Caenorhabditis elegans: one gene and its partners. The protein of the gene in region 3 purifies or fractionates together with the protein of the main gene of each other region. This does not show direct contact. Each region holds a gene or a part of one and is shown on either strand. Other genes may lie near its edges. The genes, in order: Y41C4A.32, egc-2 and pid-3.

Evidence for each region.
Region 1: the proteins of pid-3 (region 3) and Y41C4A.32 purify together in Caenorhabditis elegans (affinity purification with mass spectrometry, with the first as the bait; one large-scale study listed by BioGRID). This does not show direct contact.
Region 2: the proteins of pid-3 (region 3) and egc-2 purify together in Caenorhabditis elegans (affinity purification with mass spectrometry, with the first as the bait; one large-scale study listed by BioGRID). This does not show direct contact.

What each region holds. Positions count from the first base shown.
Region 1 is NC_003281.10:11,719,940-11,724,107, reverse strand, and holds Y41C4A.32 (Beta'-coat protein), read right to left. Parts: upstream 2,403-4,168; 5' UTR 2,378-2,402; coding exon 2,225-2,377; intron 1,850-2,224; exon of another isoform or gene 1,783-1,849; intron 1,611-1,782; coding exon 1,131-1,610; intron 892-1,130; coding exon 761-891; intron 707-760; coding exon 595-706; 3' UTR 501-594; downstream 1-500. Other genes in the region: Y41C4A.12 (Exocyst complex component Sec10), read left to right, coding at 1-44; Y41C4A.11 (LITAF domain-containing protein), read right to left, coding at 3,109-3,294, 4,022-4,069, 4,137-4,168.
Region 2 is NC_003282.8:8,900,048-8,903,828, reverse strand, and holds egc-2 (CCHC-type domain-containing protein), read right to left. Parts: upstream 2,184-3,781; 5' UTR 2,169-2,183; coding exon 2,112-2,168; intron 2,066-2,111; coding exon 1,444-2,065; intron 1,397-1,443; coding exon 1,079-1,396; intron 1,033-1,078; coding exon 869-1,032; 3' UTR 652-868; downstream 1-651. Other genes in the region: Putative serine/threonine-protein phosphatase C27B7.6, read left to right, coding at 48-128, 429-582; rad-54.L2 (Helicase ARIP4), read right to left, coding at 2,782-2,867, 2,914-3,063, 3,107-3,781.
Region 3 is NC_003279.8:2,618,745-2,622,487, reverse strand, and holds pid-3 (Protein pid-3), read right to left. Parts: upstream 1,839-3,743; 5' UTR 1,830-1,838; coding exon 1,665-1,829; intron 1,618-1,664; coding exon 1,540-1,617; intron 1,494-1,539; coding exon 1,264-1,493; intron 1,205-1,263; coding exon 754-1,204; 3' UTR 629-753; downstream 1-628. Other genes in the region: Y23H5A.2 (t-SNARE coiled-coil homology domain-containing protein), read right to left, coding at 1-170, 474-531; spe-47 (Major sperm protein), read right to left, coding at 2,139-2,249, 2,297-2,431, 3,282-3,743. UniProt on the Caenorhabditis elegans protein: Component of the pid-1 and tost-1 variants of the PETISCO complexes, which have roles in the biogenesis of a class of 21 nucleotide PIWI-interacting RNAs (piRNAs) that possess a uracil residue at the 5'-end (also called 21U-RNAs) and embryogenesis, respectively.

The DNA of each region.
Region 1 (4,168 bases), on a different chromosome or scaffold from region 3:
TGTCACCGATTCCTGGGCTTAATGATATTGTTATGAGACTTTGAATTGCCTGATAAATACTTTGTCGAATGATAAAGGGGTTTTTGGACATGTACACCTTAAAAAAAAATCCACAGTTTGCCAATTTTTCCGGAAAAAACATTTTTTTTCAAAAAAAAAACGCATAATTTTTTTGCACAGATTTCTGGCTTCCCTCATAAATTGAAATGGAAGAGTTTGCCGAACTAGGCCATTTTGGCTCGGCCATATCCGGGGTAGATTTACGGCGCGTTGTGTGTCGCGTCGCGGCTCGATTTTAGTTGTAAAACTAAATGTATTTGTCCGTGTGGAGTACACGGCTTTCCCATGCATTGCCAGAACCCTGTGTTTTTGCAACAAAAAAAAACAAATTTTCCAATTTTTTTAATCAAAAAATTCACTTTTTTTTATGTTGGAAACAACAGTATTTTTCAAATTTTCGTTCTCAAAATTCCATACTTTTCAGACGTTTTTTTCGAAACTTTAACTTGAATACACTTTATTTCAAAAAACTGTATACATTTGCAGAATATTTATAATATATCGTTATTTAGCACATACAATTTCCGAAAAAGCTCAAATTTCCACTGTAACAGCTCCAGAGTCAAATCCAACTGCAATTGCATCGGATTTTCCAGCAGCCACACACCAAGCTCTTCCCTTCTCAAAATTCAACTCCTTTTCCAATCTGAAGTTTTAGGTTTTGAATTTATTTTATTGAAGTTGAGCTAAAGAAACCCACGAGAAAGTCTGCGAATTCCAAATTTTTACAGTAGAATCCTCGGCTCCGGAGATAATCCATGTCTTGAATGGGGTGACAAAGGTAACGTTGTTTTTGTGAGCATTTTTTAGAGTTTCAATGCATTTTTGGGTCTGAAAAATGTTCCGATGCACCATGTCTTTTTTTAAACTTTGACCACTTTTATCTTGGTTGGTTTGGACTTTATCAAATAGTTGTCAATTACAAAATTATAGAGAAACAAACAAAGAATATTTTGTCAATTAGCAACATTTTGATAGAATAAAATACCAGCGATATACGAGCTCCTAAAGTTAAGCGTGGTGTTTCCGCTCGATGCACCATGTTTATAAAACTTCAAATTCCCGCTCACCTGAATATCCCAAACACAAATTGAGCAATCATCGGAGCCCGAAACAATTCTCCCACCGGTCAGAAACTCCACACAATTCACCCCCTTCTCATGACCCTCCAGAGTGCAAATCGACTCTTGCTCACCGAGCTTCCAGACTTTCAAAGTTTTATCCAACGATCCACTGACAAACATCTCCGGGTCTTCAGGGTTCACGGCAATTTGCATGATATAATGAGCATGCTCCTGGAATTCCTGCTCCATTCTCCACTCGTTTTCCCAATCCCAAACTCGGATCTTACGATCGTCGGAAGCCGATATGAGGTAGGGAAGTGTCGGGTGCACGGTTAGGGAGCGAATAAAGTCAGAGTGAGCTGTGAACTCGTTGATTAGGCTGAACGTTTCAGCGTCGAAGATCCGGATTTGCTGATCATCGGAAGCGGTGGCGATCCAGTTTTTACGATGGATGAATTTGGCGGCACGCGTGGATTTTTCGGAGACCTGGAAATATAATTTATGAATTTTGAAACGGTGAAAAACTTGGCAAATGTAATGTGAATGTTCTAGTTTAGGCTTAGGCTGAGGCGTAGGCTTAGACTTAGGCTTACGCTTCGGGTAGGATTAGGCTTATGCCTAGGCTTAGGCTTAGGCTTATGCTTCGGGTTATGGTTATGCTTAGGCTTAGGCTCAGGCTTAGGCTTAGGCTTAGGTTTAGGCTTACGTATAGGCTTAGTCTTAGGCTTAGGCGGGGCTGGGGGAGGGAAAAGAGAAATACCCAGATATTCCGAAAAATCCAAAAAAAAGTCAAAAAAGTCAAAAGTCAGGAAAAATTGGGCATTCCGAAGTCGATCATAAATTCCATAAAAAACGACCGAAAAAAAAGAACCAAAAAATACAAAAGTTTCAAAAAATTAGTAAAAACCAGTTTATCGGGGCTGGAGAGTTGAAATAGAAAAGTGATCAATTTGGAAAATGTGGGAAATTAAAATTTTCTATAACTTGCTAGTAGATATTTTTCTGAAAAATTTTCTCTCCGCTGAGATAAGCACCCCTATGTAAGTAGAGCTAGAGTACACCCCCTCCTTTACTGAAAAATCAGAATCGTTTTAACTCACCTCCATAGCCTTGACCAACGTTTTAGTGTCATAATTCCAGATTTGAACATTTCCAGTGTGCAAAGCAGTCAAAATCCATGGCTTCTCAGAATGAAAGTCCACCGACTTGACGCGATCCGAGTGGGAAACGAAGTTTGGAGCTGGAGAGGACATTTTTCAGATAAATCTAATCTGCTTTACCATTTTTCCCATTCTTTGTTATATACTCTACGGAATTTCACAATCGGACAACTCAACACTTCCAACTAGCCCTAGGGCAACGTAATGGAGCGGAGAGTGTGTGCGAAAGTGAGAGGGTTGCCCTTTTCCATGATTTCTGTCTTTTCTGTGACTTTACTTGTGATTATTTTTGTGACTTTACTTGTGATTACAATTGCCGAAAATTTTCGGCAAATTGTGGTTTTGCACATTTTTTTTTGGAAACTTCAGAATATTAATTTTTCAGGGATGGGCAGCATACAATTTTTTCCGTCAAATCGGCAAATTGGCAAGTTGCCGGAATTGAAAATTTCTGGCAAATCGGCTGTTCCTACAGCTATTTTGAAAAGTAAGCAAATTCAATGAAAATTTCTAAAGAAAACGGAAATTTTTTTTAAAGGACCGATTTAAATGTTTCCGTCTTATAAAAAATCCGTCTAAAAATTTCCGGCAAGTCGATATCCGGCAAACTGTCATAGTTGAAAATTTCCGGCAAAGTCGGCAAACCGGCAATTTGCTGATTTGTCGAATTTGCCGAACGGCAGAAAGCACTGAAAAAAGCCTTACAGTTAATTTTTAATGTCAAGGGATAACAAAATACCAACAAAAAAATTCAAAATCTTCATTGCCCGTCACAAAAAAAAATACATGTTTTACAAATTTCTGGAAATTTCTGTTTCTAAAAATTAAAAACCGGCTCGATTCGACGTGGCAAGTAACAATCCGCAATTTGGACAATTATGATCGACATCCTTGGATACATCAAAACACAGACAAATGAGAATAGGCCAACAGAATAAAAAGGTTCCGAAGAAGCAAATAAGCCACCAACACATTCCGATATGTGTTGTTACTGATGTCATTATTGTTGTCTGGAAGGAAGATGCGAATTATTTGTGAAATTTGTTAACTAGGAAGTTGTAGAAAATTCAATTTTCTACATTTTGTTAGTTGGCAAAAATTTGATAAAGCTATCCGGCGCGGAGATATGAGCGATCAAAGTTTGGAAATACAGAGCGCTCTCAGAGACCACATCTCTTTAAACACGTATAACTCGGCGCATACAAAAGATACAAGAAATTTGTTAACTGACATGTTGTAGAAAATTAAATTTTCTATAATTTGATAGGTAACAAAATTTCAATAAAATAAATCCCCGTGGAGATATGAGCGATCAGAGTTTAGAATTAGAAATTTTAATTTTTTGAATTTTTCCCACAATATTTCAAACTGTTGTAACTTTTTTCTCATTTTACTTATCAGAAAATCGTTAATTGATAAATTGTAGCAAATTTTATTATCTACAGCTTTTTATTGAAAATTAAAAAAAAAAAATTTTTCATCCATAAGATAATGCGGGTGAAAGTAGGCTCACGGTACAGACCCTCAACTTATCTGTGCATTTAAACTCCTGTAACTCGACAGAGAGAATAGCTAACAAAAAGTTGTCAACTAGTAATTTGTTGCAAATTCTATGTTCTACATTTTATTAGTTGACAACTTTTTGTTAGCACTATTGCCGCAAGAGATATGAGCATTTTTCGTTGGAACTTGTTTTTAAAATTAATTTTTCAATTTTCAAAGCTAAACTGTACCAACCTGACATTTTGGGCAAACATCTAAGTACGGAGTTTTTATAGGTGTTTCCTGGAAAAAAAATTAATTTTTTTTGTTTGGGAAAAGCCCCTCTAGGGCTCAAAAACTGAAAACTCACCTTCACCACGTGCCGGACCACTTTAACTGGCT
Region 2 (3,781 bases), on a different chromosome or scaffold from region 3:
CTTCACAATCATGTTATAGGAGCATTTTCAATATGTGTAATTTCCAGCTCAAACCAAGATGAAGATCATTCTGTATTGGACATGATTCGCAAGACACAGAAAGGATATGGAGTAGAAGTTAGTTTGAAGTAAGTATCATTTACTATATATAAAGCGCTTATTCTGTGTGTCCATAGTTTGTAGTCTATGTAGCCTTTGTAGTCTGTGAAGTTTTGGCTTCTGGAGGGATAGTGAGTTAGGGTTAGTGTAGGGATATAGTTGGGGTACTGTAGTGGTACAATAGTGGTACGGTAGGAATACTGTAGGGTTACGGTAGTTTCATAAAAAATTAATTTTCAGCCCCAGAAGTCGGGGGCCGCGCCGAAGGTGCGGTCCACGGCTGGTTTTTTATATGCGAAGAAGTTTTTTCATGTTTACAATATTTCCAGAGATAAAGTCATGTCTCTTGAATCAATCCGCAAAAAATTGGGAATGACTACTAGTACGACGCCGCCTCCGCCAAGAACTCCATCTCCGGACGCTCCACTCGCCCAATCTCCGCCAATTCCACGATCGCCTCCGAGTTCTACTGAAAATGCGTAGATTTCCTTTGAATGAAGTATACTGTAGAAAATGTTCAAGTTTGAGTGTGTATAATTATGAAACGAGAGTAACATGAAACACTTTTATGAAATGAGGTTGAAGACTCAAATCAAAAATACAAGTTTTCAAATTTAGGACAGAAACAATTCCAGAACGTAAAAAACAATACCTAGAAGTCAATAAATGGAACAACAATGAAAAACAGTAAAAATACGCTGCAAATTGGGCAGAGTTCCCAATAGTAATTATTAAACATTTTCCTTGATAGCATCATAATTATCAGAAATTATGAATTTTGTGAAGCGACCGGCACGAACTGGGCAGCGATGACACGGACGTTGGGCGGAAGAACTCGTGGGAAATTGATGATAGTCGTCTCCTCGAAGTGGAATTCTCCATCGCGCATCACAGTTCTGCGTGTCTCGATTGACAAAGTCTCCGTAGAAATTTCTGTAATAATGAACATTATACAATTATAGAATTTTGATAATCTCACGTTTGGCTCCTTCTCTGCTCTGTAGAGTGTTGATTGGAGCAACTGGTGGCACTTCTTTCATCAATTTTTCAGCTGGCCCTTTTCCAGTGATAGTCATCACGTATGGCGACGGAGCTACCGGCTCGACATTGCTGAGCTTCAAAGCATTGTCCAACTGCTCTGAGAATTTGTCAATTTCGGGCGACATCATTGGTGCTGTGAAACCACTTCTCACGCTGCCAACACTTCTTGGGGTGAGACTGTTGATGCTGTAGCCGTACCCTCCATAATAAGACTCACGGGCCTTTTGATTGTCCAACTTGCTTTGATACAGTCCACCTGAAAACATAAAAATTGTTACGTTTTCCTAGTATTCAAACAATAACCTCCATGCAAAGCCTTCATATTAGAAGAGTATCTTGATGCGTCTTCTTGGAGTAAATCTTTCGTCTCAAATGGTTCCACTTCGATATCTTTTCCATCTCCGTGTTCATCCGTTTCTCCAACCTTCTTCGGGCACATTCTCGAAATGTGTCCATGCTCTTGACAATGGAAGCAGTGGCCTGGCCCACCTCGCCCACGTCTACCGGTTCGGCGGCCAGAGCGTGGTCTCTTCGATGAAGATCCCATACCATCGGATCGGGGCGAACTTCGGAAAGATCCACGCCGTGGACTACCCATTATATTCTCAGATGGCAGAGGTGTCACGCAACGTTCATTATTCATGTAAAGAGCATCCGAAACAGCAACACGAGATGATCTGCTTTCTCGATAACTGCTGTACCCTCCTCGTACGGAACCAAATCCAGAACTGTCGTTTAGGTGAGAGGAGTTTCTGGGGATTCTACCGCCAAGTCCACTAACGGATCCAAAATCAGAGAAGCCTTCACCTCCTCCAAATCCTCCTCGATACTTTCTCGGTTGATCAGTTAGCGCTCCGAATGCTCCACTATTTTGAGTTTTTGGCCATGGAGAGTATTGAGCTCTCTCAAGATAATGTTGTCTGTCCTGAAATGAATAGTTTACAAATTGTCATTAATTTGATAAAAAATACCGTTCTCGCCGACATTCCGTTTTCCATTGACTTCATTTCACTCGACAATTCCGACATATCCGACCGAAATGTCTAAAAAAATTATTTTGAGAAACTGGCAGAACGCTGAATATTTAAAAATTAATCTAAAAACCATTAATTCATCAGAAATGGGTGAGAGAAATGAAGAAAATTGAAGAAACGTGCCGAACGAGTTCAGAATTTCGTGTCGGGACCAAAACCTACAGTAACCAAGTCAGTATTTAAAAACGCGTTATTAAGAGGCACTACAAAACGGGGATCTGCGGAAAAATGTTATTCCAATTTCTCTTTCAAGCGAATCCGATAATTTAAATATTATTCGTATTTATTCATTAAATTAAAAGAGAAGGCGTATAAAACACAATTGGCAGCTTGCCGAACAGCGGAGCTGATTACTGTGTTGGAAAAAACAGAAAAATTTAATTAATTGACATACTAATGATAAAAGGGAAGAGTGTGGACAAAGTTGAAATGTGGAAATTCGAAACTTGCCTAAAATTAATTTAGGAGCCTCTATAAGAGGAAAAATAATTGAGTAAAATGATAGTGAATTATCAGAGATCTCATTGGATGTTGCATTGAGATAGATGTTGTATTTTATATGATAAAAAACGAAATGTACATCAAAAGAAAAAAATGCAAGACGTTGTTAATCAAGATCGATGACTTCTTGAACCTGCTGCGGATCATGGTTGAAATTTTTGCTTAGATACATATCACGAAGCTGACGGGCATCTATAAATTTTAAAAAATTATACGAAATTTTTTCTAGTAAACTAACGATTCTCAAAAACACTTCCGACAGCGTCAAGAATTGTTCCATCACGTAGTTTCACATAATATCCATTTTTCGGAACAACTAACTGTATTGGTGTATTTGCCTGAACCTGATGAAGCTGATCTCTATGTCCGACAATGGGAAAAACGAGTTCTAAAAATTTGAATTTTCAAAAAAACTTAAACGTCAAACTCACGTCTATCAGTAATCAATTGTTGAACTGCTCCAGCCGGGGAAAATGATGGTATTTTGCTCATAACAGCTCCCGGAAAAGCTGATGGATCTCTTGGAGGAAGCATTTGTTGAGGGTTTCCTATAGCTCCTCCATTGTTATTATTCGGATAGCCATTGTTGAATGACGTCATCGTATGACCACCTCCTTGGTGATGGAATTGACTGACATTCATTCGAAGCGTGTGAGGCATTGGTGATGGACGAATTGATGGAATTTGAGGTGATGGTCCATGAGGTGGAAATTGTGACATGTTTGGCATCGGTTGTGGAAATTGCTGTGGTGGATAAGATCCAAAATTGGGTGCAAGCTGATTAGGAGATTGTTGCCAATGATTATTGAAACTATTTTGCATGTTATTATTGAACATCGGAACTGGTGGTGGACCCATCATTCCCATTGAGCTTCCAGGAGCATTGTTATAAAAGTTAGAACTGCTCAGGCCACTCAATGGATCATAGTTCTCCATACGTCGTTCTCTATCAAAAAGTAATTGAGCTTCTCGTTTTTCCTGCTCGCTGAGTGATTGCTCTGACTCCATTATCAAGGTTTCATGAAGGAACGGTTTCCCGGCAAACATTTGACTCATTCTCTTAGTGATTGAGTCTAGAACCGGATCTCCGAAATCCCAATCATCTG
Region 3 (3,743 bases):
ATCGCGAAACTCTGTCCGATCGAGCAGTGAGATCAGCGGCCGCGGGTTCGATGTGCTCGGCGCTATCGGTTGTGGAGTGGCGGAGGTGATCAGGCGAACCGGTGGGCCTGAGGATTTCGGCGGGATTTTAGGCCGAATTATAGGAAGTCGCATTTGTTGATTTGGTCGTGCTGGAAGAAAATTGGGTCTCGCCACGAGTTTTTTCGAGATTTTATTTTTTGTGGAAGTTTTGGGCCGAACACCGGTCTCGACACATAATTTTATTCGATTTTTTTTGTTTTTTTTTAGTAAAAATATGCTTAATGTTCTAGTATAACAATAAAACACTTGAATTTCAACAAATCGAGAGAAAAACTCTGAAAAATCTATCAAAATTCCGCAGAAAATCTTCTCTGAATTACAGTACTTTTTTAAAGGCGCACACCTATTTGTAATGAACACAAATTGTCGTGTCGAGACCTGGAAAATCTTACAAATTTTATATCTCGGCTCATAGTCGTCGGATGGCTGTGAGGAGCTGCCTTCTTCCATCTAAAAAATTACTTATTTTAAGAACAATTCTCTCCAACGAAAACAAGAATCGAGCCCCGATTTTAACAGATTAAAATGAAAAAAAAATCGCACATGCTAATGGAGAGATTATTTATCAAGGAATATGAGCAAATTGATTAAAAAAACCGGTAAAGGTCGAGATATCGAAGAAAGATCATCAGAAATCAGAAAAAAATAACTTATAAGCAAATTGGGGCACATTTAAGAGGAGACTTTCGAAAGTCTGATCGGCTTTCCCACTTGCTCCACGAGCTTCTTCGACTTTTTGAGCGATGGCCACTCGAGTGGAACGGCTGGCGACGAGACGACGAGGCTGCTAACTTGAAGTTTGTGATTGCGATCGAGCTTCTTCCCGTTGAAATCCTGCACGGCCTGATAGACTTGAAACTTGTTCTCCAGGGCAACGACGGCCGACTGGGCGCCGGTGATGGTGATCCCATTGACACGATATGGGGTGAGAAGTTGTGCGATGCCGAACGTGTTGAGCATCCCCGGATATCCACTGATCTTCAGCATGTTCTCCTGATCCGCACCTCTCGGCTCTTCTTCGGCGTGAAGAACTTTGAAAACGGAATCCTTGATGTCTTCGCTGTTGAAGAGAACCTTGTCGAACGTCGGTTTCGGATCTTTTCCATGGAGAATTCCACACGCGCTGAAACACACAGGAATTAAATAAAAAATGGCTAAATAAAAAAATGTAATTCGACTTACTTTCCCTCATTTCTCACAATCGCGGTGCCGCTACGATAAATCCATTGGCACATGTTCCGGAACACGCTATTCTGATCGGTTTCCACATTTTGGAAACGATTGGCACAGTTATCGTAGAGCAATCCCTGACGGACGAATCCGTATCTCGACGCCAACACCTTCATCCACTCGTACTCGTTCGACTGCGACTGTGGAAGAATGTGCACGACGAGGACGACCTGCGGATGCTCCTGAAGAATTATTTAATTGAATTTTATTTAATTTATCCATCAAAACCTTGTGAATCTTCTGATATGCATTAGTGCATGAGTCAAAATTGCCTGGCAAAGTCTCGACGATGGTCACCGGTGCAGCCTGGAATTATTGCATTTATAATTAATTAATTATTAACTCTTAATAACCTCATAATTGAAATAGTGACCAATAAAAGCTCCTTCCAATCTCAAAGTCTCGATAAACCACTCGGAAAATTCTCTCAAATCGGCTCGCTTCTTGTCATTCAGGTTATTGACAGTCACGACCATCGCCCATTTCGACTTGAAATCCGCCTTCTGATGGGCAACCATTTTCTGAAAAATGTACATTTTTATTAATTAAACAGTAAATTTTACAAGAAAACTGAAGAAACAGGCCGAGAAAATCAGAAAAAATGAAAAAGAAATCTCCGAAATTAATTTTTGAAACAATTTCCCGCGTTTGAAAATGGCTTCGTACGGTAGAGCGTACTTGCAGCTTGTTTGAAACCTCAGTTTTAGGGATCGAAATCTCCCATGGAAGTAGAAATGCCAGGAAAACATGATTTAAACACAATTTTACTCATAAAAGCTTTTTACAAATACAAAAATAAATAAAATAAAGTCGAGAAAAGAGACAAATCATTGATAGAACACACGAATTGCGAGGCGACGTCGGTTCTGGGAATAGAAGAACTCGGAGGAAAATTTGGAGTAGGAACGGCTGGGGATCAGAGCATAGTCGATGGCGAGCTGGAAATCGGAAATTGAAGTTTTATTCAATAGAATTATAAAATAACCTTATCAATGGAAACTCCAGGATCCGAAAAATCATCGAAGTAGTTGCCAGTGACTCCAACACGGATTGTCATGCTTTGTCCGCTCAGAAGAACTCCAGAAGTTGGAGCAGCGATGAGGTAGGCGTCGGCATTTGTCTGAAATTATCGGTTTTCAAACAATTTACATTATACAATTCAATTTGTGTATATTACGGGAGCACAAAATTTCTAGAATGCGTCTAGAAATTTCTAGAAATTTCTAGATTTTCTAGAAATCTAGAAATTTCTAGATTTCTAGAATGTTGACGCGCAAAATATCTTGTAGCGAAAACTACAGTAATTCTTTAAAGGACTACTTTAGCACTTGTGTCGATATACGGGTTTCGTTTTCGAAATGAAAACAATTCGTTTCTTCGAATTATTTACTTTTTTGCTTAATTTTAATATTCTATCGATATTTCGAAAATCCATATCTAATTAGCTATCTAAAAATTTCTATCTAGAATCGAGCCGTTAAATCGACACAAGAGCTACAGTAGTCGTTTAAAGAATTACTGTAGTTTTCGCTACGAGATATATTGCGCGTCAAATATGTTGCGCCATAAGCATTCTCAGAATTTTGTGTTAAGTATTATCAAAATATATAAACTGACATGTGAAACGTGGCTTATTTTTTATTTTGTTTTTTATTTAAGCTCCTCCCATTCCTGGCCTTTCGTTAAAATTTTTATTTATTAGCTCATTTAAAAAAATGGGAGGCGCTTAAATAAAAAACAAAATAAAAAATAAGCCACGTTTCACATGTCAGTTTATATATTTTGATAATATCGTAATAATTTGCGAGTTAATTTTACACGCAAATTCGAATTTTCAATTTTTTTTTTCAGCAAAAATGTTTGGAAAATCACAAAGTACCAACTTGTGCGTAAAGTCCGATGCATTGAAGTCGGTGAATTGCACAAAAACCACAATACATACAATTTTACGCGCCAAACCGAGACCTCACCTTCAAAGCGAACATAATATGCGATTGCGAGACGTTAGTGACTCGAATAACTTCTTCCAGCTTGCCAGCGGCAAACGTGATCCGGTCGGCCGGCACGGTGACAATATCTGCTGCAGCTCCACCGCAGGCCAACGTCATCGCCGACATGGTCTGGAAATTCCGGCTTTCCTCGATTTTCATAGTTTTCAAAGTAGATGGAGACGGATTCTGGGTGCTCTGCATATCAAGTGACGGCACGAAACTGCACGCTGTGCTCATTTCCAAATTCTCTTCCACTGGGAATATGTATTGCAGCGAGTCATCCTCAGAAAACTGGGTTATCGTTGGTGTCATCGCATCGTAGTTCCGCAGAAAACCATCAGTCTCCAGCTGTGAAACCAGTGACGTCAGAACTTCAAGCTTCTCCGCGAATTTCCAGGTGGCGGGCACTGCGGACAAGTTGGAGCGGACCGCGTGGAAGAA